4 linked regions of the Schizosaccharomyces pombe genome follow. Changing the gene in region 2 together with the main gene of any one other region gives a genetic interaction. Each region holds a gene or a part of one and is shown on either strand. Other genes may lie near its edges.

What was found.
Region 1: mutations in cdc23 (region 2) and cbh1 impair growth when combined (synthetic growth defect), as found in Schizosaccharomyces pombe (one study listed by BioGRID).
Region 3: mutations in cdc23 (region 2) and mcm2 impair growth when combined (synthetic growth defect), as found in Schizosaccharomyces pombe (one study listed by BioGRID).
Region 4: mutations in cdc23 (region 2) and cbh2 impair growth when combined (synthetic growth defect), as found in Schizosaccharomyces pombe (one study listed by BioGRID).

The regions. Positions count from the first base shown.
Region 1 is NC_003424.3:4,457,279-4,464,617, reverse strand, and holds cbh1 (CENP-B protein 1), read left to right. Parts: upstream 1-3,739; 5' UTR 3,740-3,848; coding exon 3,849-5,393; 3' UTR 5,394-5,698; downstream 5,699-7,339. Other genes in the region: abc1 (ABC transmembrane transporter Abc1/Ybt1), read left to right, coding at 1-1,539; pyridoxal reductase Plr1, read right to left, coding at 1,833-2,834. UniProt on the Schizosaccharomyces pombe protein: Binds to centromeric K-type repeat DNA and ARS3002 DNA. The CBH-binding consensus sequence is Py-Pu-A-T-A-T-Py-Pu-T-A.
Region 2 is NC_003423.3:4,075,737-4,083,504, forward strand, and holds cdc23 (MCM-associated protein Mcm10), read left to right. Parts: upstream 1-3,320; 5' UTR 3,321-3,702; coding exon 3,703-5,484; 3' UTR 5,485-5,828; downstream 5,829-7,768. Other genes in the region: SPOM_SPBC1347.09 (hexaprenyldihydroxybenzoate methyltransferase), read left to right, coding at 1,714-2,568; protein sro1, read left to right, coding at 6,471-6,791; SPOM_SPBC1347.14C (uncharacterized protein), read right to left, coding at 6,543-6,908. UniProt on the Schizosaccharomyces pombe protein: Required for DNA synthesis. Required for entry into or completion of S phase. Involved in DNA replication and seems to participate in the activation of the pre-replication complex (pre-RC) and in transcription elongation.
Region 3 is NC_003423.3:1,188,119-1,196,186, reverse strand, and holds mcm2 (MCM complex subunit Mcm2), read left to right. Parts: upstream 1-2,044; 5' UTR 2,045-2,078; coding exon 2,079-2,311; exon of another isoform or gene 2,312-2,530; coding exon 2,531-4,790; 3' UTR 4,791-4,979; downstream 4,980-8,068. Other genes in the region: SPOM_SPBC4.06 (acid phosphatase), read right to left, coding at 1-173; ubiquitin protein ligase E3 component mlo2, read right to left, coding at 844-1,833; COPII-coated vesicle-associated protein Sfb3, read left to right, coding at 5,375-8,050. UniProt on the Schizosaccharomyces pombe protein: Acts as a component of the mcm2-7 complex (mcm complex) which is the putative replicative helicase essential for 'once per cell cycle' DNA replication initiation and elongation in eukaryotic cells.
Region 4 is NC_003423.3:4,179,151-4,186,117, forward strand, and holds cbh2 (CENP-B protein 2), read right to left. Parts: upstream 3,289-6,967; 5' UTR 3,261-3,288; coding exon 1,716-3,260; 3' UTR 1,587-1,715; downstream 1-1,586. Other genes in the region: sorting nexin Snx41, read right to left, coding at 1-932, 1,051-1,338; pho8 (alkaline phosphatase), read right to left, coding at 3,642-5,035, 5,170-5,374; SPOM_SPBC3F6.01C (serine/threonine protein phosphatase), read right to left, coding at 6,323-6,967. UniProt on the Schizosaccharomyces pombe protein: Binds to the central core and core-associated repeat regions of centromeric heterochromatin.

The sequences.
Region 1 (7,339 bases), on a different chromosome or scaffold from region 2:
ATGGATTTATCGCGTGCAATTACTTTTGCCAAAGGTGGTAGAACGGCAAGTGAAAATATCCATGATATTTTAAGTGAACGAGTTTTATATAGTCCGTTACATTGGTTTGAGAAAACGGCTGCTGGGAGGATATTGAATAGATTTTCTAAAGATATGTACGCCACGGATAATCTGTTATGGGCCTCTTTGGAAGGCATGTTGTTGTGTGTAATGGCTATATTAATAACTATGCTAAACGTTACTTTGGTGATGCCAATATTTATGGTGCCGGCTGCTTTTGTTAGCTTATTGGTTTATCTTCATGGATATGCGTACTCAAAGGCACAAAAACAGCTTACCAGCCTACAATCCTCGAGAACCTCACCTGTTTTCACTATGCTGGGAGAGACTTTAGGAGGGATTACAGTTATCCGTGCTTTTAAAAAGGAGAAGATTTTTGAACATGAAAATATGGCTTTTATTGACGATATGATTCAACCATTGTATATATCATTTGCTATTAACAGATGGCTGGCAATACGTACGGATGGGATAAGTGGCCTAGTAGGGTTTTCAACTGGTCTTATTGCTTTGTTAAGACAAAACATACCACCTGGACTCGTCGGATTCTCTTTAAATAGTGCCATTGGTTTTAACATCTCTGTACTCGTTTTTGTTAGGGCTAACAACGAAATTTTGACATACATAAACAACTTTCGCCGATTATATGAATATATGCTTTTACCAAGTGAAAAGAACGAAAGTTCTTGTTTGACGAAACCTATGAATAAAGAATGGCCTACTTTGGGGCATGTCAGCATCAAAAATCTTACAGTCTCTTATTCAATTGGCCAAGCGGCGGTTTTGGAAGACATCAACTTGGAAATACTTCCCAAAGAGAAAATTGCTATTGTTGGGCGAACAGGAAGTGGTAAAAGTACAATGGGTTTAACTTTACTTCGCTTTACGATGATCATGTCAGGTGCGGTTGAAGTAGATGGCATTGATATCAACTCTCTAGATTTGGAAGTCCTTCGTCAACGTATTAGTTTAATTCCACAGGATCCTGTGCTAATATCCGGTACGGTCCGAAGCAATCTTGATCCTTTTGAGGAGTATGGAGACGGAGAACTAAATGAAATACTTAAGACTGCTTCCTGTGAATCTTTAGTGCAAGCTTCAAACAAAAATTCTCTTGACGCTTTTGCGATACATCTTGACACACCGGTTGATTCAGGAGGTGTCAATTTTTCTTCCGGCCAAAGGCAAATTCTAGCCCTTGCACGGGCGTTAGTCCGAAAATCTCGTATTGTTATTTTGGATGAGAGCACAGCGTCGGTAGATGATACTACTGATCGAAGAATTCAGCAAATGCTTCGTGCAGCATTTAAACATGCTACCGTTTTGTGCATTGCCCATCGAATTAAAACAATTGTAGATTATGATAAAGTCTTAGTATTGGATTCTGGTAAAACGGTGGAATTCGGATCCCCCAAGTCACTATATACTCAACGACGGGCGTTTTGGAAAATGTGCAAGGAAAGTCATATTAGTCTTTGAATATTTTTTGCTGACTTTCAATACATTCCATTTGTAGAGCAGCTTTAAACTGATCGTGAGCACCCATCATTTTCTTTTTTTCTTTTTTTTTTAGAGCATACTAGAAACATTTAAACGAGATCGAGCAGAAATCGGTAATAACAAGCCAAACTCTATAAACAAATGATTTAACATTTTCGCTGTAAATAAATTGTCATTACTGAATACCTAAGTAAGGCTAGCATATAATAAGTTTATATTTAATATGCATTTCAAAACTGAAATGCGAAAGAGTATCGACTAACTTCAGCACTTTAAACGGAAAGAGTGCCCGCAAGCTGTTCATTATAACGTAACCCGTAGATTGGGTATTTACTCAAGACCTCTTTGGCCTCTTTAAATTGTTCAGGAGACAAAGATTTATTCAGTGCATTGAGATTGCTCTTTGTACGAGAAACAGATGTGGAGCCAGGAATAGGAATGACCAGACCGTTTCCAGACGCCATTATAAAAAGAAGTGAAAACTCGGGCATAGTCATACCAAACTTTTTAGCAAGTTGCTCGACAGCTTGGAGGAATGGAAGATTTTTAGCAAAAACATCAGGGCTAAATCTGTCCAAATATTCTAAGAATGGGAAAGATTTAGCAAATTCTTTAAGGTCTTCGACAGTCTTAATGCGACCAGTCAAAAGGCCACGACAGAAAGGAGAGTATGCAATAATAGGGATAGATAACTTCCTACAAATATCCATAATACCGTTTGTCTCGATATCACGAGAAAACAAGGAGTATTCGACTTCGACTGCAGCAATGGGGACCACAGCGTGAGCACGTTTGATAGTTTCAGCAGAAACTTCGCTAAGGCCGACACATGAAATCTTTCCAGAGTCCACAAACCCCTTCAATGTCTTCATGGTTGTCTCAATGGGAACATTTGGGTCGACTCGAGCACATTGGAAGAGATCTAGCTTTTTGGTCCCACGTAAATGAGCTATCACATTTTCAACACTCTTTGACACGAAGTCCGGATTTCCATCAGGAACTAGTGTTTTAAAATCCAAACCACCTTTGACAGATAAAAACACCTTATTAGCGTTTTCGGGATATTTTTCAAAATATCTAGCTAATAAATCTAAATTAGAGGTGGGAGGGTCGACACCATAAAATTCACCCGCATCCCAATAATTGGAGCCTTGGGATAAGGCATAATTCATTACTTCAAAGGCTTCTTCATCTGGAGTTTGCTTGGGCTTCCAGGTTAAACCCATAAGACCAAAGCCAATAGGTCCGACTTTAAATCCGCTAACGATAGGCATCTTTTCACAACTTTAATTTAAAAATGCTTAACTCTGTAAATATCAAATGTGTATTCTCAATTTTAAGCGAATAATATTGGAAAAACTAAGCTGCTAGGTATGCAAAGCTTGCTATTTATATGATAACGGTACCGTATGCTGTAAGAATTTCCTAATGGTTCTTTGAGACGATGCTTACTAATTAGTTCTACTGTTAATAATAATGAATCAAACGTAAGTAACACCTACTCTTCGTACCGTAACTAGCTTAAACAGCTTTGTTCTTTATTTTTGGCTTTGCTTTTATAAATTTACTTCTACATTTTTAAACATTGGATCACACGTGTAACATACATTATTGAAATAGACTTGATAGTAAGTATTATGAATTGAACTATGAATGGAAATATTGGAATTAAAAGTAATTACACCAAAACTGAGAACTTACATATTATGTTATTTGAAAATTCGAGAATTTATTAAATGAAAGAGAAGGGAAAATGCTCATGAACTTCAGAATCGCCATTTTTGTTACAATACCAAGGAACATTTATTTATTTACACATTTTTGTTTAATAGTGAGAAGAGGTGTGCTACAGAAATGAAATTTGAGGAAGTATTCAATTAGACTCTCATTTAAAACATATATGAGAATTGATTTTAAACGGTTTCTAACAGCGTTCATGTCGTTCTTTCTCCTATTTTTTGCTCTTGAATTCTCTTTTTCTTACTGACAAAATCGTTAAGATACGCAAATTTGCTATATTAACCTGAACGTCATAATTTGAGCATCTCCAATGGCATTGTTATTACAGATTAACAATAGGTTCGGTATATTGCACTTAGATTATATAGGGTGCAAGGCAGAAGGATGCACTAGTAGTACTCACCTTCTTAAACCCTACAAGGATAGAATTCGTCTTTTCACCGTTATTTCCGATATCTACTACAACATAAAATAATTGTATAAATCCAAGGCTATACTCTTATATCGGTCTGGAAAAGTATCGGCATAGTAAGTATTAAGGAAAATCAATGCCTCCTATACGCCAGGCCGTCTCTTTAGCAGAGAAAAAGGCAATTCGAGATTATTATAACCAATCTGCCCATAGAATTCCTCAAAAGGAAGTGACAGAATGGTTTCGAAAAACGTACAATAAAGATTTATCGCAGTCAACGATTTCCGAAATTCTTTCACCCAAATACAGTTATTTAGATGATGGAAGTGTAAGACTCGGTGATATTAAAAAAATTCGAGCTCCAAAGTTTCCTTTGCTTGACAATGCCGTGTACGAATGGTTGCAACAAAGAGAAGTTGAAGGCCTTCCTATATCAGGGGATATGATCAAACAAGCTGCTACTCGATTTTGGTCGAAAATTCCGGCGTATGCTTCTCTCCCATTACCAGACTTTAGCAATGGTTGGTTGGATAAATTTAGAAGAAGACATTATATCCAGCAAAGTGCGGTAAATCAGGCATTGGAATCCATCAAATTTGAGGTGTTTAGAGAATACCCAGTTCATATTCAAGAGTTTATACGGCCTTATGCCCAAAAAGATATATTTTGCGTTGGAGGGACAAGCCTTTTTTGGAAACTCACTCCTAATAAACAAAACTTGGATTATCAGGAAATCCAGGGAATGAAGCGTGGAAAAGCCAAAGTGTCTTTAATTATGTGTTGCAATGCCGATGGGTCAGAACGACTACCTTTATGGATCGTGGGTTATGCACAAAACCCAAGATCTTTTGAGCAGTGCGGTATTTTCCCTAAAAGTATGAACTTCGAATGGAAGTGGAATGGCCGAGCTTCAATTTCACCAATTATTATGGAGGAATGGCTTCGGTGGTTTGACACACGTATGCAAGGACGCAAGGTCCTATTGATGTTAGAGAGCAATGACACATATCAGTTCGGTGTTGAAAGTGTTCGACGGTTTAAAGGTGGTTTTCAGAACACCTCTGTATTTCGAATTCCAGAAAAAACATTGGACATTAAGTCTCCGTTTGAACAAGGAATAGTCGATACATTTAAAGCGAATTATCGAAGATACTGGTTGCAATACTCCCTTAATCAAATCAACATATTGAGAGATCCTCTAAAAGCCGTTAATGTTTTAAAAGCCATTCGGTGGATGCTTTGGTCTTGGAATTTTGGGGTGAGTGAAAAGACTATTCAAGCATCTTTTCTCCGATCAGGATTATTGGGTCCACATTCCGAGGCCGAAGGACAAGGAATGGAGTCGTATCAAAAGGCCATTATGGAAATTGGTAATCTGATTTCAAGCAAGGGCAGCGAAGCTGTTAAGCAAATTAATGAATACATTAGACCTTCTGAAGAAGATGAAACCAAATTACATCAAGATGCTGTGGATACCGTTGCTGCAGAGTTTCTGGAGGAGAGACGCTTTGAGTCGGATGAGGAAGAAGACGTGGAGCCTCAAATATCAAACGTGGAGGCTGCCATGGCCTTTGAAGTCTTAATAAAATATTTTGAGCAACACGAAAATGGGGATCCCTCGTTTGTTTTAGATTTGTACCGCAGACAAAGAGTGATTGCCCCTAATAATTTAATAGCGTGATCCACTTACGGAAATAAATTGAGAGCGAGTCTTACTAAACCCAATAAGTGCTTCACGTTGGATGATTTCAATCTCCAAAGCAAACAAATTTCCAAAAAAAAAATATAGTGAAACAAAAGTCGACACTCGTACAAAATTACTTTTTTTAATTGAGATTAATGTTTCTGCTTACTTTTGGTTAACTATGGCGGGCGGCTTTGAACCCTTCTCGTTTAATATTCTTTTAAATTCACTTAGTGTGTGTACATATACCTGAACAACAAAACATTTTATAGGATTCTAATGATATTATGAATTATTAATGATTTTTTTTGTATAAACTGTGTCACATTGTGTTTTCCTTTGTTGTATGCAAGACAGAGATATAGAGAAGCAGTGAGAACAATTAATAAATAAAAATCAGTTAGCGCGCAAATGAAAAATAAAGCATTAAGCAATGATGCTTTAATAATTTAATTTAATTTAATTTAATTTAAATGCTATAGATGATGAATGATCATATGGTTTTGTGAGTGAGATGCTGTTTGAGTTGTTGCGCTGGTAAACCACTATTGGAAATGCTAGAAAAATGGGTAGGGGTTTTGATATGACTTTAAGTCCGAATCTGAAAACCGAACCATTAATTTTAATAGCTAGGTAAAAAAGCCACACACAATCAGAGATTTTACCAAAACAAGACATAAAAAAATCACATTATGGATATGAGGCAACTGGAGTGTGGAATTTAAGGAAATATGTTTATATAATTATGAGTTTTCATTGAGCTACAAAACAGAAGATATATTTCATTGAATAATTTCTGTAGTGATGACCCACTTTAAAAAAAAAAAAATTTGAAAGTAGAGTAAACAAAATGGAATATGCCATTTTTAAAATACACACTAGAATGATCCACACTAGCTATGGTGATCTTAAAGTATATATACATATCTTCTTAAATCTTGAAAGTTTTGCTTATCAGATCTTTAACGCGCTCCAGTACGAAAAAATGGCATGCTTAAAACAACAATACAATAATGTGATGAGTAATAATATGGGTTATTAAAAAAGTAAATTGGAGAAACAAAAAAATTAAAACATTGGAAGAGTGTATAGTTCTCACGGTTTTGCGTTTTATGTGTTTGAATTTACAAATTTCAGTGATCTTCGCTATCTTGACAAGTTGCACAATGGAAATTGGCACTGCGACCATGAGTAAAATAGTTTGAATTTCATTTCCAAATTTAGTTGCGATGTTTGCGAACAAATTACTGAGTGATTTGAATGTAGAGCAAAGATGATTAGTTAGAAGAAACAGATAGAGGGAAAAAAGAGAAGAGTTAATAATTGAAATAAAATAAAAATAAAAAAAGGGAAATAAGAAAGCAAAAAAAAAAATTTTATTAGCTCTTGAAAATGTGGATGAAGCACTTCCAAATAGTAAAATTTGATTAGGTAAACAAACCGAAAAGAATAAAATGAATGCCACCGAAAAAAAAAATGTATGCAAAAAAAAGAACAACAAATGGAAACGAAAAAGATTTTCTAAAGCAATATCAAGAAAAATTTTTTAATTCATTCTAGTCTTCCTTAATCAGCGTCGCATTTCGCATATTCAATACTTTCTTTCATTTTCCTTTGTTGCATGCTTTATACCATAGCAGGTTATGCACTAATCACATGGACTATAAACGAAGACAAATGTCCGAAGGTGGTCAAAGTGCGAACCGCTTAACGAACCTTAACACAACAGTGTCAAGAGAAAGCTTCGCATGTTGAAAATTTTAAAAAGACGCAGAAAGGATACTTTTGCAGTAGCAGCAATAGGTCGACCAAAATACTGGCTCATAGAAAGTAGTAGTATTATATTTATGATGCTAAAGAGGTTGCTAATTAGGATGCAAGCGATGGGAATATCAAAGAAATGTAATAAAGAGTAGTAGGGACAAACACTCAAGAAATAGAAT
Region 2 (7,768 bases):
TATGAAACCCCAAAATTTGTGAGGCAATCACGTCTGAAACTTCGTACCACTATTTGCAACAAAAGTAAAAAATGCAAAGATATCAATTGAAAACAACTCTGAGTACTTGCAAACACAATTTTTTAATTAGAAAGATTTCGTTGTGTAACTTTCAGCTAAAGATGAGTATTTTGTAAAAGTATTGACAACGATTTGGGTATATCAAAATTTAAAACAGTGACGACTCTAGTTGTACATATACGAAAGAAATTAAGCATATAAAATTGATTGTTCCTCTTAAGATAATCATGAAGTTGATATAAAAGATGGCTGAAGTAAGAGGAGATTCGTACCGACTTTTTGTTGTCTGTTCAAGACACGTTGTTAGTCAAGAACTCCATCTTTATAAGAAAGCAGTACAAAAAAATGAAATGCATATTCTTAAAAAAGAAATATAACAGTCGATGTTGAAGTCAAGAGCGGCAATCTTAGTTATGAGAAATTCAATGGTAAACCACGGTAGTGAATTGAATAGAAAGCTTGCGGCTTCAAGTACCAAAAAAAAACAGCATTGGTTAAATTGAAAAGCCAAAGTATAGATATCCTTAATAAACTAATAAAATAGACATTGAGTATTTTCTCATCTTAATAATTGCTAGATTGACTATACTAACTGTTTATCACATCGAATTTTTTTTTTTTTAATGAAAAAAAACTGGTTGCGGACGTTATACATAAAGAGTGTATAATGGTGAACAAGACTAAGTCTACATGTTCTACTACGTTGATTGTAAAGTAATGAAAAACGTGAAGTACATTAGTTGAAAATTAGTGAAGTAACTAAAAGCGAACGAATATGACCTTCCTTGCTTGCAAGTACCTCAAAGGTGGTTGATGTGTTATTTAAACCATTGATGAATGAATCTTCCTCGTGTACATTCTTTCGGTGTAAGTCTCAAAATGGGTTATAACATTATTACATTGCTACCGCATTTTTTGTGACATGAATAGATCAACTTCCAAATTACTGTTTCATTAGCGAAGCTCCTTTTTGTATTTTTACTTAACAGTAAATACTTACAGTGATCTGAGCAATTTATGGAGCCTTTCTTGCGGGCCACTTTGAGAGCCATGCAGCAAGTCAGCTAGACTAACAATTTAGGCCAAATGATTCGTACTTTTTAACGAATATCTTGAATCATGCTTAATTGCTTCATTTAACACCCTACCTAGGGATTTACTCAAAACGATTCATGTAAACAATACTTTACAATTCAATGCAAATAGTGTGTTGGAACGAAACCCAATTTAGCTTCTTAAATTATGCGCAGCGGTTTCCAGTAGTATATAAAAAGTCCAAGCTTATTTACAAAATTCGGGTATTAGGGTAATACAAAAATGAGCGTTATACAAAAGCAAAAGGACGGTCACAGGAATCCTAATCTGTCGAATACAATAATTTAGTTAAAATAAGAAGCTACTGAAGTTTCTATATTAACAGGCTCTTTTCTGTCTAACATCCAATAATAGTTCTAAACAAATTCTCGCTTAATAAGTTTTAGTTATATTAATCATAAAAAGGGAAATTGTGCTAATCTTTCATAATCGTGGTACCTTGTGACATAAATTTTCAGTCATAACCATTTAAAGATAGTCCTTGATTATCTTTTTTTTTAATATTCCTATTAGCAAGACTTCACCGTTCATTAACAATATAAAAGGAACTAAAATATCATGTCGGATATAGTTTATGCCAACGTGTCTCATTACAACAAAATAGAAGCATCGAAATATGACAATCCAAGTACCTTGGCGATTTCCAAAGTGATTTCTTCAAAAATTTTACAGTTTGAAGACAATTCCGAAACCAGCCTAAGACATGATCTCCCAAAATATGATCAAGATAGGCTGCTTTTAACTTCGGATGATGATTTGACAAATGTAAATAATTTTTGGAAGAAAAGTGGTATGAGTATATTGGATTTTGCTTGTGGAACTGGTTTAATTAGCCAACACCTGTTCCCTTACTGTAAACAAATTGTTGGCATAGACGTTTCCCAAGACATGGTGGACGTTTATAATGAAAAATTTAGAAAGATGAACATTCCCAAAGAAAGAGCCTGTGCATATGTTTTAAGTTTGGATGATTTGGATGGCAACGGCGATGAACCATTTTCTACTGAATTTGATGCTGTTGTATGCTCCATGGCATATCATCATATCAAGGACCTACAGGAAGTGACTAATAAGCTTTCTAAACTTTTAAAACCTAATGGTCGATTATTTGTCGCAGATTTAATAAAGGGGGGTGATACTTTTCATGGTAATTTGCATCCTGATGAAATAGCTAAGCTTGGCGTAGCTCATCATGGTGGATTTACTCCGCAATCAATTTTGAATTTATTCAAAAATGCATCTTTGTCAAACGCTGAAGTCATTGGTAAAGCTCAGGCAAATGTGTGGGTCGATGAAGCTAAGTATCAACGGTCAACCCAGTCAAAAGACGCTAAAACCTTAGATTTAGCTAACGGAGAGAAGCTGTATGAGGTAAAATTACAGCTGATGGTTATTAGTGGTATCAAAACATGATCCCCTTAATTTTTAATTAGGGATAAACAAATGAATGGTCTGGGTACCCGATTTTAGAAGGTGAAGCAATCAGACCAGGAATTGCTTCATTTAAACAAGTATTGATGTCCATTAAATTGATAGCTTATGATAACTTATAACACTGTGAGTCCCGGTGATTCATTTAAACGAAACTACATACTGAGCATTCAGAAAGGACTAAACTTCATTGAAACGACAATTTCGAATATGATCAACCAAATATTATGTGGGATTACAGGCTTTTTTTATACAATACTGGAAATTTCGTTATATGATTTTTCTTCATAAGTTGGTTTCAAAAGAACTGGCCAACTGTTGTCACAAAGATTTTAATATTAAGCGCAAATTTGAATAGACAACGGAAACTAGGCAATCTCTTCCACCAAATGTAAAAAAAAGTTCGACGTTTAAAATTTAACTGTTCAAAATACCCCTTTTAAATAAGTTACTATATGCATTTGAATACTGTAGACACATCTTTTATGATTCTATATAGACAAATATCGTAAGTTTATATTATGTAAATGAATTCGTGATATCGAACGTGTATACTCATTAAATTAGCGCATCTATTTTAACCTTTTATTATTCAAACTGCAGTTATGTTGTTTACCTATAGCATGTGTAGTATAGAGAGGATTTAATTTTGCACATTATGCTTGTTTATGCACTACATTTTGCATCCTTAAACACATGTCCTTTAGATGTCCGCTAACTGTTTACATTCCTATATGTTTAACCGCGATTTTTAAGTATTGGAAAATAAGAATATCTTGTTAAAAAGATTTATAATTATTACTTGCTTCCTTTTCCAGGACTAAAGAATTTCCTGTTTTTGGCACTAAACTTTTCAACAATATCTTCGCATTTCAAAATACAAATGTGGCAGTATTAAATTTATCCTGTTATTTGTTTTGGCTACTCATACAATAGAGAAGAAAATTTTATTGATCAGAGTTTTTTTAATTTCCTGAAAAGCTAGTTTTCTAGGGTTGGGTTGAAAAGTTTCAGTATTCGTGAGAAATTGACTATATCTAACAGGCGGGGGGTTTTTTTTATCATTGACTTTGGAGGTTTAAGATTAAGAGGAAACCAAGTTTAATTAATGCAAGTATGCATGATCCCTTCATTGCAGAAGAAAATGACTTGGACCTGGAAGAAAAGAGGTTACAGAGGCAGCTAAATGAAATTCAAGAAAAGAAGCGTCTACGAAGTGCTCAAAAGGAGGCTTCTTCGGAGAACGCTGAAGTTATTCAGGTTCCAAGATCTCCTCCTCAGCAAGTTCGTGTCCTTACAGTCAGCTCGCCTAGTAAACTAAAAAGTCCCAAGCGATTGATATTAGGAATCGATAAAGGAAAGACGGGGAAAGATGTTTCATTAGGAAAAGGGCCTCGAGGGCCTCTACCAAAACCATTTCACGAACGACTTGCAGAGGCAAGGAACCAAGAAAGGAAGAGGAGCGATAAATTGAAAACGATGAAAAAAAATAGAAAGCAATCGTTCCAGAGGAAGCGAAACATACTTGAAGATGGAAAAAGTGAAGAGGAGAAATTTCCTATGAAATGTGATGAAATCGATCCTTATTCAAGACAAGCCATTGTTATTCGATACATAAGTGATGAGGTTGCTAAGGAAAATATAGGGGGAAATCAAGTTTATCTCATTCACCAACTACTCAAACTAGTAAGAGCTCCTAAATTTGAAGCGCCAGAAGTTGACAACTATGTAGTTATGGGCATTGTTGCCAGTAATAGTGGAACCAGAGAAACTGTGAATGGGAATAAATATTGTATGCTAACACTGACTGACTTGAAATGGCAACTGGAGTGCTTCCTGTTTGGAAAGGCGTTTGAACGATACTGGAAGATCCAGAGTGGTACTGTCATTGCGCTTCTCAATCCTGAAGTACTAAAGCCAAAGAACCCAGACATTGGACGCTTTTCTCTGAAGCTGGATTCTGAGTACGATGTACTTTTAGAGATTGGTCGCTCCAAACACCTTGGCTATTGTTCCAGCCGAAGAAAAAGCGGTGAACTATGTAAACATTGGCTCGACAAGCGTGCCGGAGATGTATGTGAATATCACGTTGACCTCGCTGTCCAGCGGTCCATGTCTACGCGAACGGAGTTTGCTTCAAGTATGGCGACTATGCACGAGCCTCGCGCACGACGTGAAAAGCGATTTCGTGGACAAGGGTTCCAAGGATACTTTGCTGGGGAAAAGTATTCCGCAATTCCTAACGCAGTAGCTGGTTTGTATGATGCAGAAGACGCCGTTCAGACCGAGAGGGAGCGCAAGGAACGATACAAAAAACAACGAGCGCAGGCTGAACGCGAGCGTGAAATTTTGGTGCGATTATCGAAGCGATGTTGCGCTTCCTCTTCGTCTAGCTCTAACTCGAATAACCTCTCTACGGGAATGTCGATGCGAACACTCGGCCATCAGTATCTAAATTTACAAGGTTCCGGCGTTAAAAATTTACATGACAAGGGTAATCCCACTGCTCTTTCTAAAGATAGCGAAATTGATTCATCGACGAAAAAACCATCCGTTCTGGCCTCTTTTAATGCATCTATAATGAACCCTAAATCCTCTCTACCATCTTTTTCTAACTCTGCTATTCTCGGCACTAACGATGCGGCATCAGGGACACCCGTTCCACAAGATACTACATCCACCAAAGTTTCCCCAGCGGTAGTGTTTACCTCTTCGCCGAGGATTTTTTCCCCCCAAAGTCTACGAAAAATAGGTTTCGATCCAACGCATTCCGCAGATGCATCTACAACGCACTCCACAGCGACTGGACTTTCACGATCCGGCTCCCTAAAAAATATCAAATTCCGATATGAATTTACTGAGAGTGATGATGAGGATGACTTAGAAATAGTTCCCTGAATTTTACGTTGTTTTTCTATACATTATGATGAAAATTAATTATTTAAATTACTAACCAACTTACTAATTAATTAGCTAGCTAATGGATATAGCTATGATTTCAAATGAATGTTCTTTTGTTTACATGCGACACACTTTGCTATCATGAAACTTTCAACCCTTTGTTAAACCTTTCTTCTAAATCCTAATCCTTAGTAAATCCCAATGGAATATTTGAAACGCTTATTAAACACAGTCGCTCTTTTCATTTGTGATGTCAACTGTTTGAATTCAATGTGCGAAGTCTCCCTTTTTTGTTCTGCTAGCTTCTCTCTCATACAAGAACGGCCGTTACAGCTTTTGACATCACATTGTTTATTAATCAAACGAACGTAAGCTTACTTTCATATGGTATGATGGGCTTGTAAGCAATACTAAGATAGCCAGCCAAACTGAGGTACTGTCGACACCTTTAGCTTACGATTGCTTTCGTCTAGGTATCGGACTTTACACTGCTAGTCGCCTATTTTAACGTTGCGCCGTATGGAACGGGTATCGCATTCTTATCAGTAAGGAAAGCTATCTGAATTCGTCACAAAGGAAAAGGCAAATAAATAGTCTAAAACTATATAAATGCGGGCTTCCATCTAAGAGACCTCGCCATCCAACAATTGTTGCGTCCCACCTAAACAGTGTCTAATCAAAGTCAATTGCGAGACATTCTAAAGTAAAAAGTTAATACATTTTAGCTACTACTAAATACTTCTTTTGATATTCTTTTTAGTGAACAATAAAGAATATTGGTTTGATCAACACGGTCATCTTCAGAAAAAAAATTTTTTATTCGTTGGTTTAATTAGTTAAGAAAATTTTTTTTTTCTTTCTTCGCTGACGTCTCGATAATTAAATCTGCGAACGGTGATACTTCTATTCTACACATTTCTATTTAATCACTGTTATTTTCTTTTCTTTTTAATTTCATCAATAAACATTTTTGATTCATCGCTATGTTTTCTATTCTTAAACAAGGTGTCATCTCCAAGTCTCTTTTAGCCGCTACCTCTTTAAAGGCAACGGCTTCAAGATTTTCCTTCTCTACTAGTGTTGCTTCCCGTGTTGACGGTACTAAGAATGGTTGGTCTTTTACCGCATCCAATGTTGCTGATCAAACCACCGATATCGGCATTAACTCTGAGTCGGCTATGAGCTGTAACGACCAAGAGCAACCTCTTTCCTTTTACGTTCAAACTGTCAGAGATGACTTGAACTCTCCTAATTGGGGAGCTGAGCAAAGAAAGGGTGCATTTGATTGGGAAGTAAGCGCTTAAACCCGAATATTGTATACAAGAAGAAAACCCGATTTCCGTTATGATCAGAAGAAAATAATAAAAAGGGAAAACAAAAAATTGGAAAATTGAATGTTTTATCTTATTCGATAAAAGCATTAAACAATCTAACAATGCAATCTTTTTTAATTCGTTATTTTCGCTTTTCTTTTTTTTTTACTCTTCTTGATGTAATTGTTAAGACATGGATTTTATTTTTATTTTTCTAAGGAATTTCGATTATTGGAATTCTTTTACCACCCCCATCCCTCTTTTTATTACCAGTTTCAACACATTGGTTCCCCTGCTTTAGAATGTTTATCGATATAAGCCGTGAACGGTTCCTTGCTTTTACCATTTTTAAATGAGGCAAGACATATGTATTATTAGTTTATACCCCCAAGACTTGTTAGTCTTTATATTATTAGTTTGTCTACTTGTTGACTATAATGATAGTCGCTGATAAAGTTGAAGTTTCCACCTTAATCTTTGTTATTTTATATCCAATTCGCCATGGTCACATTGATTTGATTGAATTTTCGGTTGCTGGATTACAAAAAAGAAATGCCAAATGCGATACAACTGTTACATTTAGATTCAGAATAGGAAATTGTTTGTATAATTAAAAAATAGAAATTGTTTATTTTAATACATTACTACTGATTAATGAGTAGATGAATGGTGGAAGATTGTAAACAATTATGAAGACAAGGTCAGCATTGTCTTTCCGTCTAGCTAAGAAGCAACCCGATGTGCAATTTATAAAGTAGTGCGGTTTAGTGTTGATACGTTATCTTTTTGATAGTTTGATTAGTTATTTCGAAAACACGTTAAAAATGCAGTGAATTTTGTACAGTCTTCTTTACAATCCATTCAACAACAATTACGAGTACGAGCGGCTTTATGATGGGTCTAACCAAGATGTAAACATAACCATTATTAAGCATATACTACAATTCAACTGAAGAAACAAATTCAAT
Region 3 (8,068 bases), 2.9 Mb from region 2:
TTACAAAGCTTCCAATCCTTAGGGATACCGGCGGAACCAAGTCTTTCCTTCACGGGAGCACGTTCACCATGTCGAAATATGACTTGTAAATATTTCAGTTGCAGCTGTTTTGGATAATCGACTCCGGGAACTGAATCCGGGAATTTAACAGAAGCTGAAGACATTTGAGACATGGCGGCTAGGAAGTGGTTGATGATGCTGGATAAGAGCTGCTGTCAACTAAGGTCTCAATGCTTGAACATCATCGCAAAGCTCATATAAAATATGAATTACTGAATATTAACGAAACGACACTATTTGAAAATTAGTTTTGTTTATGAAAAGAAAACAATAAAATATAAAGTTAATTCAATCTTAAAAAACTGTTAGGAAAAAATTAAAATGAAAGTCATTATGAGATATAACAAAAAAAAAATACCCAGACAGGGTTTCTCTTTAGCTTTCTCAATCAAAAATAAAAGATAAAAGACGCAACCACCAAAACTATAGATAGGTTTAAAAATTTTAATGAGTGCAGTTAAAATAGGAGAGACAAGAAAGCTAGAAGTTCAATATATTAATTATTGTTCAAATATACATACAAATTTGTCATCATCATTAAAATCATGTATACCAACAAGCCCCAGTAAGCCTCTCAAATTAACCATCTCTGTTAAGAAAATCAATTAAACCATTTTTGATAGAGAAATGATTACGTTTAACCATAAGCACATAGAAAATATCTCTGGTTTCACCAGTATAAACAGCGTTTCACAAAAAGCATCACCAGATTAAGTATAACCTACATGTTTTGACGTTAAATTATACGCCAAAAAAGAAGGGAATTCAAAAAAGTTATTAACGCTACCGTAAATTTTTACTGATTCGAGATCGCTCCAAGAAAAAATTTGATATATCTTCCTTGGTGACAACCCTATTTTCACGAGCAAATGGAGTGAGGAAGTCCGTTAGCTCAGATTTTAAGCGATTATACGCATAAACGCTTTCGTTAGCTTGTACACGAGGAAGTCTGTCCAAAATACGAAGGACATCATTCATTGTGCTAGATATGACTTGCTCAATCATTTCTCCAGATTCACTGGGATCCTCATTCATCTCACTGATTCCATCCTCAGAATCCTCAGGAGGTTCGTAAATAGGTTCTTCTGCCACCAACATTGGCATCTCCAAATTACGCAAACTGATGCAAGATTCACAAGGGCACAAATTTTCCCTAAAGTTTTCTGAAAGAAATAGAGGCGCTCGTTCTGTACCAGCTATGCTTTCATGCTTCTGGTTTAAAAGATGATCGCGGTATTTTTCTGAACATTCTGAACACACCAACCATTCAAAAGTCTCAGCATCTGGGATTGCAATTCCTTTATTAGTTTTCTGCAGACACTTTTCGTGAAACCAATCTTCGCAAAGGATGCATTGAAACATAGTTCCTTCCTCTGTCTCTGGATTATACACCGTATCACATATGCAAAATCGCCCTTCGAAATTATGATTATAATCATTTTCTGAGCCACATTCATCAACGGATTTCCGTAAATTACAAGGTATGGAGTGGGTTCTTGTGGTGCCACAATCACATCGAAAATGTCGTTTATTGAATAGGTCCACAAGATCATGGTCAGCATGGCAGCTAATACTGCAGCTATAGCAAACAGCATTTAAGCTTCCGCTAGCTTTTTGACATGTCAAACAAGCGTATAAAGGTTGCTTCAAATAGCCCATCGAATAAGTGCACGTGTCAAAGCTGTAAGGCAAAACTTCTCGTGCCTCCCTTTCAAGCTCCCTTTGCTGTTCAACATATTGCTTAACCGTTAATTCATGAGCCGTTTCCTCCATAAGTTATTAAATGCAACTAAACGTTGGCAAATAGACGGCGTAAACAATTGCGAAGAATGTCTTTTGAATAATTCAAAACACTAACTCATTACGCTCCTCTATTTCATTTACAGGTATCACTACATTTTCCAATACAATTTAACAATATACTGTAGCATTTCTTATTCTTTCATCCTGCAATACTCTAGCTATTCAATGCATTAAAATAGTTAGAAACAACATCTTTAAAGTATTTGAGTCCAAAGATGGATTCTTTTCGGAAAAGGGGTCGCCGCGATTCTGAAAGTTTACCTTTTGAATCAGAAAATTCTTCTCTCGGTGCTACACCTCTTTCTTTACCTCCTTCTTCACCTCCTCCAGAATTCTCTGATGAAGCTGCAGAAGCTCTCGTGGAGGAGGATATTGAGGATCTGGACGGAGAAGCTTTAGATGTAGAGGATGAAGAAGGTGAAGATTTGTTCGGAGAAGGAATGGAACGGTAAGTTTTATAGCTATGCTTGAGACGTGTCTTGTCAATGTTGTGTATACTAAGTGTTGCCATCAATATATAAATTACATACTATTTCTTCTCCTTCTTGTAAATAAATATATTTATTGGATTCCTAGGTTGCGGTTATATTGACAGAACAAATCTTGATTTTCAAAAGAGTAGTTTCACATTTCGCGTCAAATAAGGTACTTTTTTCTAACTGTATAGTGATTATCAACAAAATTTGGAGCTAGATCGTTATGACATTGAAGAACTAGATGACGATAACGATCTTGAAGAATTAGATATCGGGGCCCGAAGAGCTGTTGATGCCAGGTTGAGACGACGTGATATTGAGCTCGATGCTGCTGCAGGTAGAACAAAACCTGCTGCATTTTTACAAGATGAAGATGATGATTTGGACTCCAATCTTGGCACAGGCTTCACTCGTCATCGACATCGAATTTACGACGAATATTCACCTAATGTTGGCGCATTGGACGAATCTGGTGAACTTCCTCTTGAATCAATTGCCGACGTAAAGGCCGATAGTATTGCCGAATGGGTTACTCTTGATCCTGTTCGGCGTACAATTGCTCGAGAATTCAAAAATTTCCTTCTTGAATATACAGATGAAAATGGCACCTCTGTATACGGTAACCGTATTCGCACATTGGGTGAGGTTAATGCTGAGTCGTTGATGGTTAATTATGCCCATCTTGGTGAATCTAAACCCATTTTGGCTTATTTCTTGGCCAATGCGCCTGCACCTATTTTTCGCATATTTGATCGTGTTGCTTTGGAAGCCACTCTTTTGCATTATCCAGACTATGAAAGAATACACTCTGATATTCATGTTCGTATCACTAATCTTCCTACTTGTTTTACTTTACGCGATCTACGACAATCCCATCTTAATTGCCTTGTACGGGTATCTGGTGTCGTAACTAGGCGCACTGGGCTTTTTCCACAATTAAAATACATTCGGTTTACATGTACCAAATGTGGTGCTACTTTGGGTCCATTTTTTCAAGACTCTAGCGTTGAAGTAAAAATTTCTTTCTGTCACAACTGTTCCAGCCGTGGTCCGTTTGTAATCAACTCTGAACGGACTGTATATAATAACTATCAAAGGATCACTTTACAAGAATCACCTGGCACCGTCCCCTCAGGTAGACTGCCTCGACACCGTGAAGTTATTCTTTTAGCGGACTTGGTTGATGTTGCCAAACCAGGCGAAGAGATTGATGTTACTGGCATATACCGCAATAACTTCGATGCTAGTCTGAATACCAAAAACGGGTTTCCTGTCTTCGCTACAATTATAGAAGCAAATCACATATCGCAACTTGACGGCAGTGGTAATACTGATGATGATTTCTCTTTAAGTCGGCTTACTGATGATGAGGAAAGGGAAATTCGGGCATTAGCAAAGTCGCCTGATATTCACAACAGAATTATTGCATCGATGGCGCCTTCTATTTATGGACATCGCTCTATCAAAACTGCTATTGCTGCTGCTTTATTCGGTGGTGTCCCCAAAAATATTAACGGTAAGCATAAAATTAGAGGTGATATCAATGTTTTATTGTTGGGAGATCCAGGAACCGCCAAATCTCAATTTCTTAAGTATGTTGAAAAAACGGCACATAGGGCTGTCTTCGCCACAGGTCAGGGTGCCAGTGCTGTTGGTCTAACTGCATCCGTCCGTAAAGACCCCATTACGAATGAATGGACTTTGGAAGGGGGTGCTTTGGTTTTAGCAGATAAAGGTGTTTGTTTGATTGACGAGTTCGATAAAATGAATGATCAGGATCGTACTTCTATTCACGAAGCCATGGAACAACAAAGTATTTCTATTTCTAAGGCGGGTATTGTGACTACCTTGCAGGCGAGGTGCACTATTATTGCTGCCGCTAATCCCATCGGTGGACGTTATAACACTACAATTCCTTTTAATCAAAATGTTGAGCTGACCGAACCTATTTTATCTCGTTTTGACATCCTTCAGGTCGTCAAAGACACGGTTAATCCTGAAATTGATGAACAGCTAGCTAATTTTGTTGTATCAAGTCATATTCGATCTCATCCTGCATTTGATCCGAATATGGATGTCTTGAAGAAAGTCCCTACTGAGACTGGTATTGATGCCAAACCCATTCCCCAAGATCTTCTTCGTAAATATATCCATTTCGCTCGTGAAAAAGTTTTTCCTCGATTACAGCAAATGGATGAAGAAAAGATTTCGAGACTTTATAGCGATATGAGACGCGAGTCACTGGCTACTGGAAGTTATCCTATTACTGTGCGTCATCTGGAGTCTGCTATCCGTTTAAGTGAAGCATTTGCAAAAATGCAGCTCAGTGAGTTTGTGCGCCCTTCACATATAGACAAAGCCATTCAAGTGATTATTGATTCCTTTGTGAATGCCCAAAAAATGAGTGTTAAACGAAGTTTGTCAAGAACATTTGCTAAATATCTTATTTAATTTTTTGACACAATCAGTTTATGGAGTCCAGTGATTTTGATTTCCCCGTTCTTTGACCCTCCTTTTGTTACTGCATCTGTTGCATATATCTATCCTTTAATAATTTGCAATCAAAATTTGCTTTACATTTTTATACCTATCTTTACATTCATTCTTTCTTAGTTTTCAAAATGTCAATCTAAATTATTTAGGTTAATAACACTTGTTTTGAATATCATTATTGACTATTCGCTATAGATACTAGGTGTATAGATACTTTCTCCGCTGTATCAATATTATTAGCTGTTTCATTAAAGAGCCACTGCCCATGTGAAATGACATTTTTTGAAACAGCTGAGGTTTTTTACATATAGAGCTAAATTGTCCATTTCCAAATTTAAAGGGAAGTCAACTTTTGACAATCGGAAATGCATCCAGTTCATATCTGATGTTCCTGAAGAATCTCAAATTTCACACTTTATTATCTAAAATTATTTATATCGTGTTACTCTTTCAAATCAGTCTTTTTATTTGGTATATATTTTGCCCTACCCTTACCTACTTATATTCGTACATCCACCAAGTAAACTTGACACAAAAACAAAATGGCCTATCCCGGGCAGTTTGGAAATTACGGTAATCCTGAGACTTATAGGCAAAATGTTGCTGGCAATATTGCTTCATATGGGGGCCCTGAAATTGACACTCAGTTAGCTGCTCAAATGAACGCACAAATGTATATACAGCAAGGTAGTGCAATGGCTCCACAACCCCGACGCGCTAGAAGACATAAAGATGCCCATGCATATGATATGTCATTGACAGATGCTGAACCAGCTTTGGCTCCTGTCATGTCGCCTGCTATCCCGCCTTCCATGAATTATCCTACGCCAAGTACACCCTCAGTACTTCCAGAATCTTTTTCTAATGATACAAATCTCCTCGATCCTGCAGCATTACCTTCGGCTCCTGAAGTTCGCTATGAAGATCAGCAATTGTTTAAAAACCAAATATTCAATACCATGGAAAAGGGTTCTCCACCTATGTCCACTACAGATTTTGTTGGGTATGAACAAGGAAATTCATCTTCCAAATTCGTTCAGTTTACCAGTTACGCGATTCCAGCTACCAATGATGTTTGCAATGCTTCCGGAATCCCCTTGGGAATGATTGTTCAACCGTTCGCAGAGTTACGTCCTGATGAAGCACCCGTACCCGTTGTAGATAACACAAATTCAAATCCCCCACGTTGCAAAAAATGTCGTGGCTACATCAATCCTTTTATCCAATTCACGATGGCAAGTAGTAAATGGACTTGCAATCTTTGCGGTTCAGAAAATAGTTTTAATGATGATGGTTTTAATCCTTTAGTCGGTAGTCAGCATGATGGAGTGGAGTCTCGTCCAGAATTAAATGTTGGCACTATTGATTTTAAAGTGGGGAAGGACTATTGGATAAAGGAGGATCCGCCAAAGCCGGCTCGCTTTGTTTTTATGATTGATGTTTCCTATGAAGCTTCCTCCAAAGGACTTCCCAAGGTTGCAGCTGAAGCTATTCGGAATATTCTCTACGGACCGGTACCTCTTGATCCTAATGTCAAAATTGCTATTGTCTGCTTTGATCGAAGCGTTAATTTCTTCAATTTATCTCCTAATTTAGAGCAACCCCATATGTTAGCTGCTTCTGATTTAGAGAATCCCTTTGTTCCATTTTCTTCCGGTCTTTTTGTTGATCCCATTGCTTCAAAAGTTGTCATTGAGAGATTGCTGGACAGTTTCCCTGCAATTTTTCAAGATGTTAAAATTCCCGAACCAGTCGTTGGCAATGCACTGGAAGTAGTAAAACTCCTTCTTAAGGAAACAGGTGGAAAAGCTTTTGTTTTTGTTAGTGCTCTTCCTACGATGGGATTGGGGAAATTAAGGCATCGTGAAGATCAAAGATTATATGGGACTTCTGATGAAAAGAATCTTTGGAACACCCAAGACAAGTGGTATACATCTCTTGCCGATGAATATGTTACTGCTGGTATAGGTGTTGATATTTTCTTTACTGCTACTGCTTATGTTGATGTTGCTACTGTTGGAAGTGTTGCGACCTTAAGTGGTGGGCAGATTTACCACTATAGTAATTTTGTTGCTGATCGTGATGGATCTCGACTTAAACAAGATTTATTTAGAAGTGTTACCAGAGAGCAAGGCTATCGAGTGATGTTGAAGACACGATGCTCAAATGGTCTGCGTGTCTCCAAATATTTAGGCAACTTCTTGCAACGAACTCCACAAGATATCGAATTTGGCAGTCTTGATGCTGATAAAAGTGTAACAGTTCTGTTTTCCTATGATGGAAAATTAAATGGAGCTTTGGACGCTCACTTTCAAACTGCGGTTTTATATACCACTCCTTCTGGTGAGAGAAGAGTAAGGGTTGTTAACTATTGCTGTGCTGTCACTTCTAAAAGCTACGATACGATTTCTCTTGCCATTGTTGAACCTATCGTTGCAGTTTTAGCTAAAATTGCATCGACAAATATTGCAGCGGGTTCTTTAAAAGATACATCGGTTAGGTTAGTGGAGGGTGTCGTGAAAATCTTATCTAGTTATCGGAAGGTTGCTGCTAATCGTTTGACTCCAGGCCAACTGGTTCTTCCAAAGAACTTGGTGTTATTACCTATTTTGATTCTTGCAGTTTTGAAATCATCTGCTATCCGAAGTGGAAGCATTCATAGTGATATTCGTGTTTCACAGCTCAGAGAGGTGAGAGCAGCTCCTATTCAAGAGTTGATGCTAAATCTTTATCCAAACATTTATGCACTACATCAATTACAGCCCACTGATTGTCTTCCTGACCCTGAAAATACGGGTTGTCTACCTATCAATATGCCACTTTGCGTTCGAGCATCTCGAAAATTCATTGAGGATGGTGGTGCTTTTTTAATCGTCACTGGCCAAAAGTCTTACTTATGGTTTCATCAAAGAACCTCTCCTCTTTTACTTCAAGATCTATTAGGTGTTGAGAGTCTTGAGGATATTGATTCTCTGAAAGCGCTTGAGCTTCCGACATTGGACACAGTTCTTTCTGTACAAGTTCGCAATCTCCTTTCTTCTCTTAGAATGCAATTTCCCAGCATGGCTCTTCACCCACAAATCGTACGCCAGGGTTTAGATGGTAGTGAAGGTGAAATATTCTCAACATTAGTAGAGGATAACACTCGCGAAGGATTTGGATACCTAGACTTTTTAACGAAAATTCACGAATCTCTGCATACTCAAGGCTACAAATAAAAACAGCTCAAATCTTCT
Region 4 (6,967 bases), 100 kb from region 2:
GAAGTTTGAGCGTTATTTACACCCAAAGTAGCTTCCGATTCCCTATTGAGTATTACGTCCCCATCTACCTCACCAATAGCCTGTTGTAGACGAGCAGCATGTCTCTCCCTGCGCTCCAAAAGATGAAGAAAGCTCTTTTTTCTTGTGAGAAGCTCTTCGACCATTACCTGTTGAATAAACTTCATCTTTCTAAAGATAAAAATGTGACGCATATTTTTGGCGTCTTTTGAAAGCTCCTGAAGCGGTTCTATTACCGCGATTACAAAGTTGTGCATAAAGTCAATACTAGCAAGACATGTGTGATCATTTGCTTGTCCAACCTTTTCCAGTGCTGTCAAAAGCTTTCCCGACTCGGATAACGAAAGAGCGTTAAACATTGCCCCCAAAGTAGAGTGTGCGAGGCAATACTTAGAGTTTGATAAAACAATTTGATTAAATAAATTGGATTCCTCTTGTGCTACTATTGAATACTGCTGTAGCGTATCTTCAAGCATAAGAAAATTTTTCCCAACATCGTCATAATTGTCACGAGGTACAAGGGTTTTAGAGGGAATAGGCAGCTCCTTGTATAACTCAGCATTCTCTTTAGAAGAAGGATCAGCTGGTGGGGCTTTCAATAAATCCTTTGGGAGACAACTAATAGGAGGACTATGCAATACTTCCTTCCAAGATACATGTCGACTAAGAAATTTTCGAAAAACTTCTGAAAGGCCCAGAATAGGGTGTTGTGCTACCCTTCTCAAAAATAATTGTAATAATCTCTTTCTTTCTTCGAGCATACGAGACATTCGTTGGTTTTTGGTGACGTTTATCAAGTAATCCATGATTTTATGTTTATCAGGTAATGGAGGAACCAAGCAAGTAGGATACAGGCGGCTAAGTTGTACGCGCAAAGAAGCAAATTCTGAATATCGATGGTGTATTTCTGAGTCCTAAAAACCGTTAGTAATCAAACATTTCAATACTTCCAAACAAAAGAGAAGAATGAAGCAAGGATTCTACAATGAATAGTTCGACTTAATACATTATCAACCAATTTCCTTAACTTACTTGAAGTTTGATTATATATACTATGTGTGATCCACTCTCAGCCTTCATAGCTCCAGTAATTACAATTCCGTTTGGATCGAGGGCTGAATCAACAACACTATCTACGTCCTTTTGAAAAAACATGTTTCTACTTTGAAAACTCTCATTCGGTTGGCTAATCGCATTCTCTTTGACAGATGAAGAGCCCTGGTGCTGTGATGGCTCAACTTTTGGCTCTACATTGACAGCAGAAGAGGCGCTTCTGTTGTCAGAGCCAGAGAATGGATTATTATCTTCAAAAAAATCCATTCAATTGTTTCTCACAACGTCCAATTTCAATTGCAATGCTGAATAATGGCGTTTGGAGTTGACAAGTACAGACAGTCATACTGTGTTGATTAATGCATTGCGCTATGCTTATTTTTCGCAAAACAAAAAATTTGTCCCAATTCAATTTCGTAATTTAAACAATTGATTCTTCACTTTATTATTTTATCAATATATCTTATTGAGTTTATAAACGCTTTTAGCGCGAATCTCACATTAATTGAAATAGTACGTCTAGTAGTTAACCTTTAAGAATTCACTGTAATTATTTATCTTTCTTATATTCTATAAAAATTATTTAAAAGTATAGAAAATGTGTACATTTTCGTTAGAAACAAATTTTCCAATTCCCACAACCTTTACACAATCGATCTGCTTTCTAAAACCTTTTGAAACTGAAGTAATGTTCGAGTAAACAAAACATTTCCATCTTCCGATTGCTCTTGAAAGTTTAGTAAAGTATTGATGGCATTTATCGCATCCTTTGTTGATAACAAATACTGTGACTCTTCCTCTTCTTCATCGGTTTCAAACTCTCGTTCATCAAGAAATTGAGCAGCAACTTGGTTAACGATATCGTCATTAGTGTCAGCAGAATTTTCTTCAATAGGGTTAATAAAATTTTCGATTTGGAAAATATCCTTATCACCAAGGTATTTTCCTATCAATTCTTGCAAATTCACCGCGATTCTAATGGTTTCTGGAGAAGGACCGGTCAGTGGTTGCTGATTTTGAAAAAGCCCAGAACGAAGGAAACAATTGTATATTATAGATGGTTCAAAGTCAACGTTCCAAGAACGAATCATCCATCTAACTGCTTTTAGTACATTCATTGTCTTACTGGGGTTCTTTCCCAATCGAATCTCCTCAAGCATGTAATTAAGCCAGTATTTTCTGTAGTATGATTTAAAAGCGTAGACTATCTCTTGGCCACAAGGATGGTAAATTTCTGTAGAATTTACAGGAAGGAAAACAACAGTCGTGTTTACCAACTTTCGCTCGGAATTGCGAATATTTTCCAAAGCGCATTCATGAGCGACAAACTTATCCAGTATAAGTAGAACTTTCCTACCCTTCATCAAATCGTCAAACCAACGAAGCCATTCTTCCATAATGGAAGTGGTCATCCTAGCGGTTCCATTATATCGCCAATGAAAATCCATGGAATCAGGATGAGCATTTGCTTGCCGAAAGGCCCTTGGACTTTTAGCATATCCAATCACCCAAAGAGGGGCCTTTTCAGAACCTGTAGCATTACAACAAATAGTGACGGTGACACGAGCCTTATCTCTCGTAATTCCTTTTACTCGTTCACTCGCAGGAGATTGATTGGGAATAAGTTTCCAGCATAGCCCCGTCTCATCCATATTAAAGATGTCTTTTGGATCAAAAAGACTTATTAATTCCTGTATTTGAACCATGTTTTCCTCATACGTTCCTTGATTTACTGAAGTAGATTCACCCTGTAACTTAAGGCCGTGTTTTAAACAACGCTTTTTGAACTTCTCTAACCAACCGTTACTAAATTCTGGAATCGGAAGCTCAGAGTACTCCGGTATACGTCTCCACAATTCTGCGGCGCTTTTTTTGATGGCGTTTCCAGTAATTGCTCCGTCTTGTTTTTGCAACCTCGTTTGCCAGTCAATAAGGGCGTTTTCTAAGATAGGATATTTTCCTTGGCGGTTTCTTCTTATTTGAGAGTTTTCTGCGTCTAGATTATCTAAAAATTCGTTCTTTGATGATAGAATTGACGAAACGGTAGATTGTGCTAGCTTTTTATGAAAGTGCTCCTCGAACCAACTAATAAGCTCTTGTTGCGAAGGTTTAGTTGCTGACTCAAAATAATGTTTTCTAATTGCTTTTTTTTCAGCTAAAGTCAACGCTTGACGCCTCAATGGAGGCATTCTCTCAAGTTTACGAAAAAATCGTTGTAAGGGAGGTAATCGCGGCTGTCGTGGATGATATGGATGATATCCCGATATGTTTGTGATATTTGATATATTAACGTGTTTGTTATTATAATATTATTATAATATTTTCGTTATGGATATGTTAACTATCTTTATTGCGACAAGTTGTATGTATAATTGTAATATTCGTTTGCTCTTAAATCGCAATTGTTGGATATCTCAACCACAGTGGAAATTAAATAAAGTAAAAGATAAGAAGTAAAATAGGTTTAACTTAAAAAGAATTTGAATGCCATAATTAAGCGATTTAAATAAGCTGAGCATATATGAGAGTATTCTAAATTATATATTTATGGCAATCTTGATTAAAAGGCTTTAAAACAAATCAGCACCGAAACCTACAAGACGATCGGAAAATGAAGTTTCCACTAAACTAGGTCGATCTGGGGCACCATGTATGGGAGCATCTTTGAGCTTTTCAGTTACATCGCTTAGTGAAACATTTAAGTATATCTCCATAAACTGTCCAATTTCAATGTTCTCCATATTTCCTCGAAGATGTTCAGTGACCTCTCCTACTCCATAAACGTTTACATCGACAGCAGTATGGCCGTGAGTGGTCCAGCCAATTTGTGCTTCTACACTAACAATATCACTAAGCACGTTTATAAGATTAAATATATTATGCCGGGCCACGTATATGTCATGAATCTGCTTTGGATTAGGGTCAGGAATGCCAATTGCGGGTAAAACAAACTGTTCAATATAAGGAAGCAACGTATTTTGGTTATGGTTCACGATAGCTGAAGCGAGATATTCAATAGAATGGAGAGCAAGAGATAGGACTTGCGGCTTCCATAAATACTCTGGATATTTTTTGGAGACCTGGCGACCAACAGTCAAACCACCAGTTTCATGATCCGATGTAGAGATTAAAGATCCTCCATTCTTTTCTACAAATGCACTTGCTATTTCAAAGGCCCTGTTGTATTCCATAACTTCGTAAACATGAGCGATAGGGTCATTGTTGTGAGAGGCCATGTCAATTCTACTCCCTTCTATGAGCAAAAAAAATCCTTTAGATGTATCTTCATTAGTGGCGTTGAGCAAAACATCCAAAGCCGTCTCTACCATTTCAGAAAGCTTAGGTTGCACTTCAGGCTGATAATCAATATCATAACTGAGATGATAATCAGAAAACAAACCAAGCAAAGGCAATTGAGCGTTTGATAGCTCATCAAAGTCAGTTCTATTAAGCAAAATTTGGAAACCTTCTTTTTTCCTAGCATATTTCAAAAGATCCAAGTTATCGGATCTACATGATCGATAAGTAGATTTAGGTAAGAATGAACAAAGTCCACCACCGAACAATAAGTCAACACTCCTTCCCAAAGGTCCCATCCCGACTTGGTACTCAGCAATTAAATCTTGCATGAATCGATTCGCGGCATGAGCAGAGAAAGAGGCAGGTGTAGCGTCGGTAACTCTGCTTGTGACAACAATTCCGGTTAAGTAACCGGCTTCTTTAGCAGCCTCTAAGATAGTTCCACAAGGTTTTTCATTATCCAAAACACCAACAGCTCCGTTGTAGGTTTTATTAGCACAAGAAAATGCGGTTGCTCCGGCTGCACTATCCGTAATCAAACTCGAACTGGAACGTGTCCGTGAACTGCCAATTAAATGCTCATCCAAGGGAAGCCTATAACCCTCTTTATCGTTTAGAGTCTCTACAAACGATCTAGTCATAGACAAAGAGCCAGGTCCCATTCCTTTAAAAAAAGTCAGTCACCGAGAAATATTGTAAAAAAAAGGAAGATTCCGTCCCAGTGCTCTAAATATAAAAAAAATCATTTTCCTTCAAAAGAGCAACGGATTTATGAGAGAGCTTACTCCAATCACTTACCGTCAGAAACCATCATAATAACAAATTTTGGTTTCTCATTGGTCCCTTTGGACTTATGAGACGAGAAAAAATAAAAAAATATAACGGTTGATAAAACAAGGATTAACAGAATTCCATGTTTTATCCAAGTTTTCCAATTTCTACGAGAAGGGCTCTCCGGACCCTCGCCATGCACTGGCAGAAGAGGATCGCGCTCAGATGCCATTGAAAACTATTTAAACGGTAAAAATTGAATATCTCTAAAAGAAGGGATGTCAAAGGGTAAAGATCGTTTCAACGCGTATGACTTGTTGATGGATAGTACAAATTTTTGGTGTTGAAACAGCTCAACCATACATTGCATGACGTCATGGTTTAAAGTATTAACTCTCCATGTCGATCCTCGCTATCTTAAATCTGATATCGGATAGTATATGCACAAGTTAATCGAGAATGGCAATTCACCAAGTCCACAAGAAATAGCGTGATGGTAAAACTGTCTATATATACATGTAATATCTACTGTCAAATGCAAGTAGCTGTTGAAAATATTAGAATCAGCTGCTGACATGAAAATCCCGTATATCCAAAATTCGATGCAATTACCTTTCGACTATTATTGAGATCTTGTCATTAACGAAAAAAAATATATATAAGCAAATGAGTTGTGAACAGAAAATAAACAAACAAGTAAAGGACTGAACTGTTACTTGAAAATAAAGTACAGTGTTTAAAGTAGAAGACACATTGATGACTTATGATGGCAGTGAATTTTGAGGGTAATAATAATAAGAAGACAGCATTTTAAATCAGTGCGATATTAAAGGATCAATTGTTTTATTTACTTCATTGTTCATATGAACTTAAACATTATTTATATTTTTATTGTACAAAGAACGTGAAATGGAACTTTTGGAATAAAGAGTAGCTAATCAGGAATTAACATTTGGGAATTCCTAACCATCCAGGTATCGAAACCAATCCTTAAGCTAAAGATTAAACATACAAATAGCATTATTTTTTTGAACGACGGTAACTTCATAAAAACCCAAACAACCAAGTCTTCAAAAAATAATTTAACTGGATCATATAGCTGTGGAACAAATTTTTTCAAAAACCAGAAAATTAAAAAAATGTGGGTGCAAACACTGAGAACAGTGCTTGCAGTCTCCCATCACATACCACTTAGCAGTCCATTGGCATATGCCATTGGGCGAATGTTAGGATGGGGAACGGCTTCAAATTGGTGGAAATCCAACTCCATGTCTTCCTTAACTTTAATTACGGCACCAAGATTTCCGGTACTATCACAATAATTAGGAGCACTAAACACAGTAATACAATAACCATCGTGCTCAACTTCGTAGCCTTGATCTCTGACTTCATGAGAACGGATCACTGCTTTAAGACCATTAGCCTCGCAAAAACGTTTTGAAACATCAGGGCCGAATTGTAAACCCACCCCACGTTTCGATGGTCCTCGTCCTGGAGCAGGTTGTGGATCGGTCCAAAGCATTTCCATCATTAACCCAGATTGTCCAGGTTGCTTTTTACTAAATCTATCAATGTTTCGTAGTTGGTCTAATGTTACGTTATCATCAGAAAATAGGCCACCATGTACAACAAGATAAGAATCGGAAATTAGGGAACCAAGAGGTAGCAGAGAAAAAGTTTCCGAGAAAATATTAAATGTCCTCTCATTATACTTACTACGACATTCACCTTCGAATCCGTAGACTTTGTTCATATCGTCAGTTTCGTGATTACCGCGATTGATGAAAACAGCGTCCGGATATAATAACTTATATGCATAAAGAGT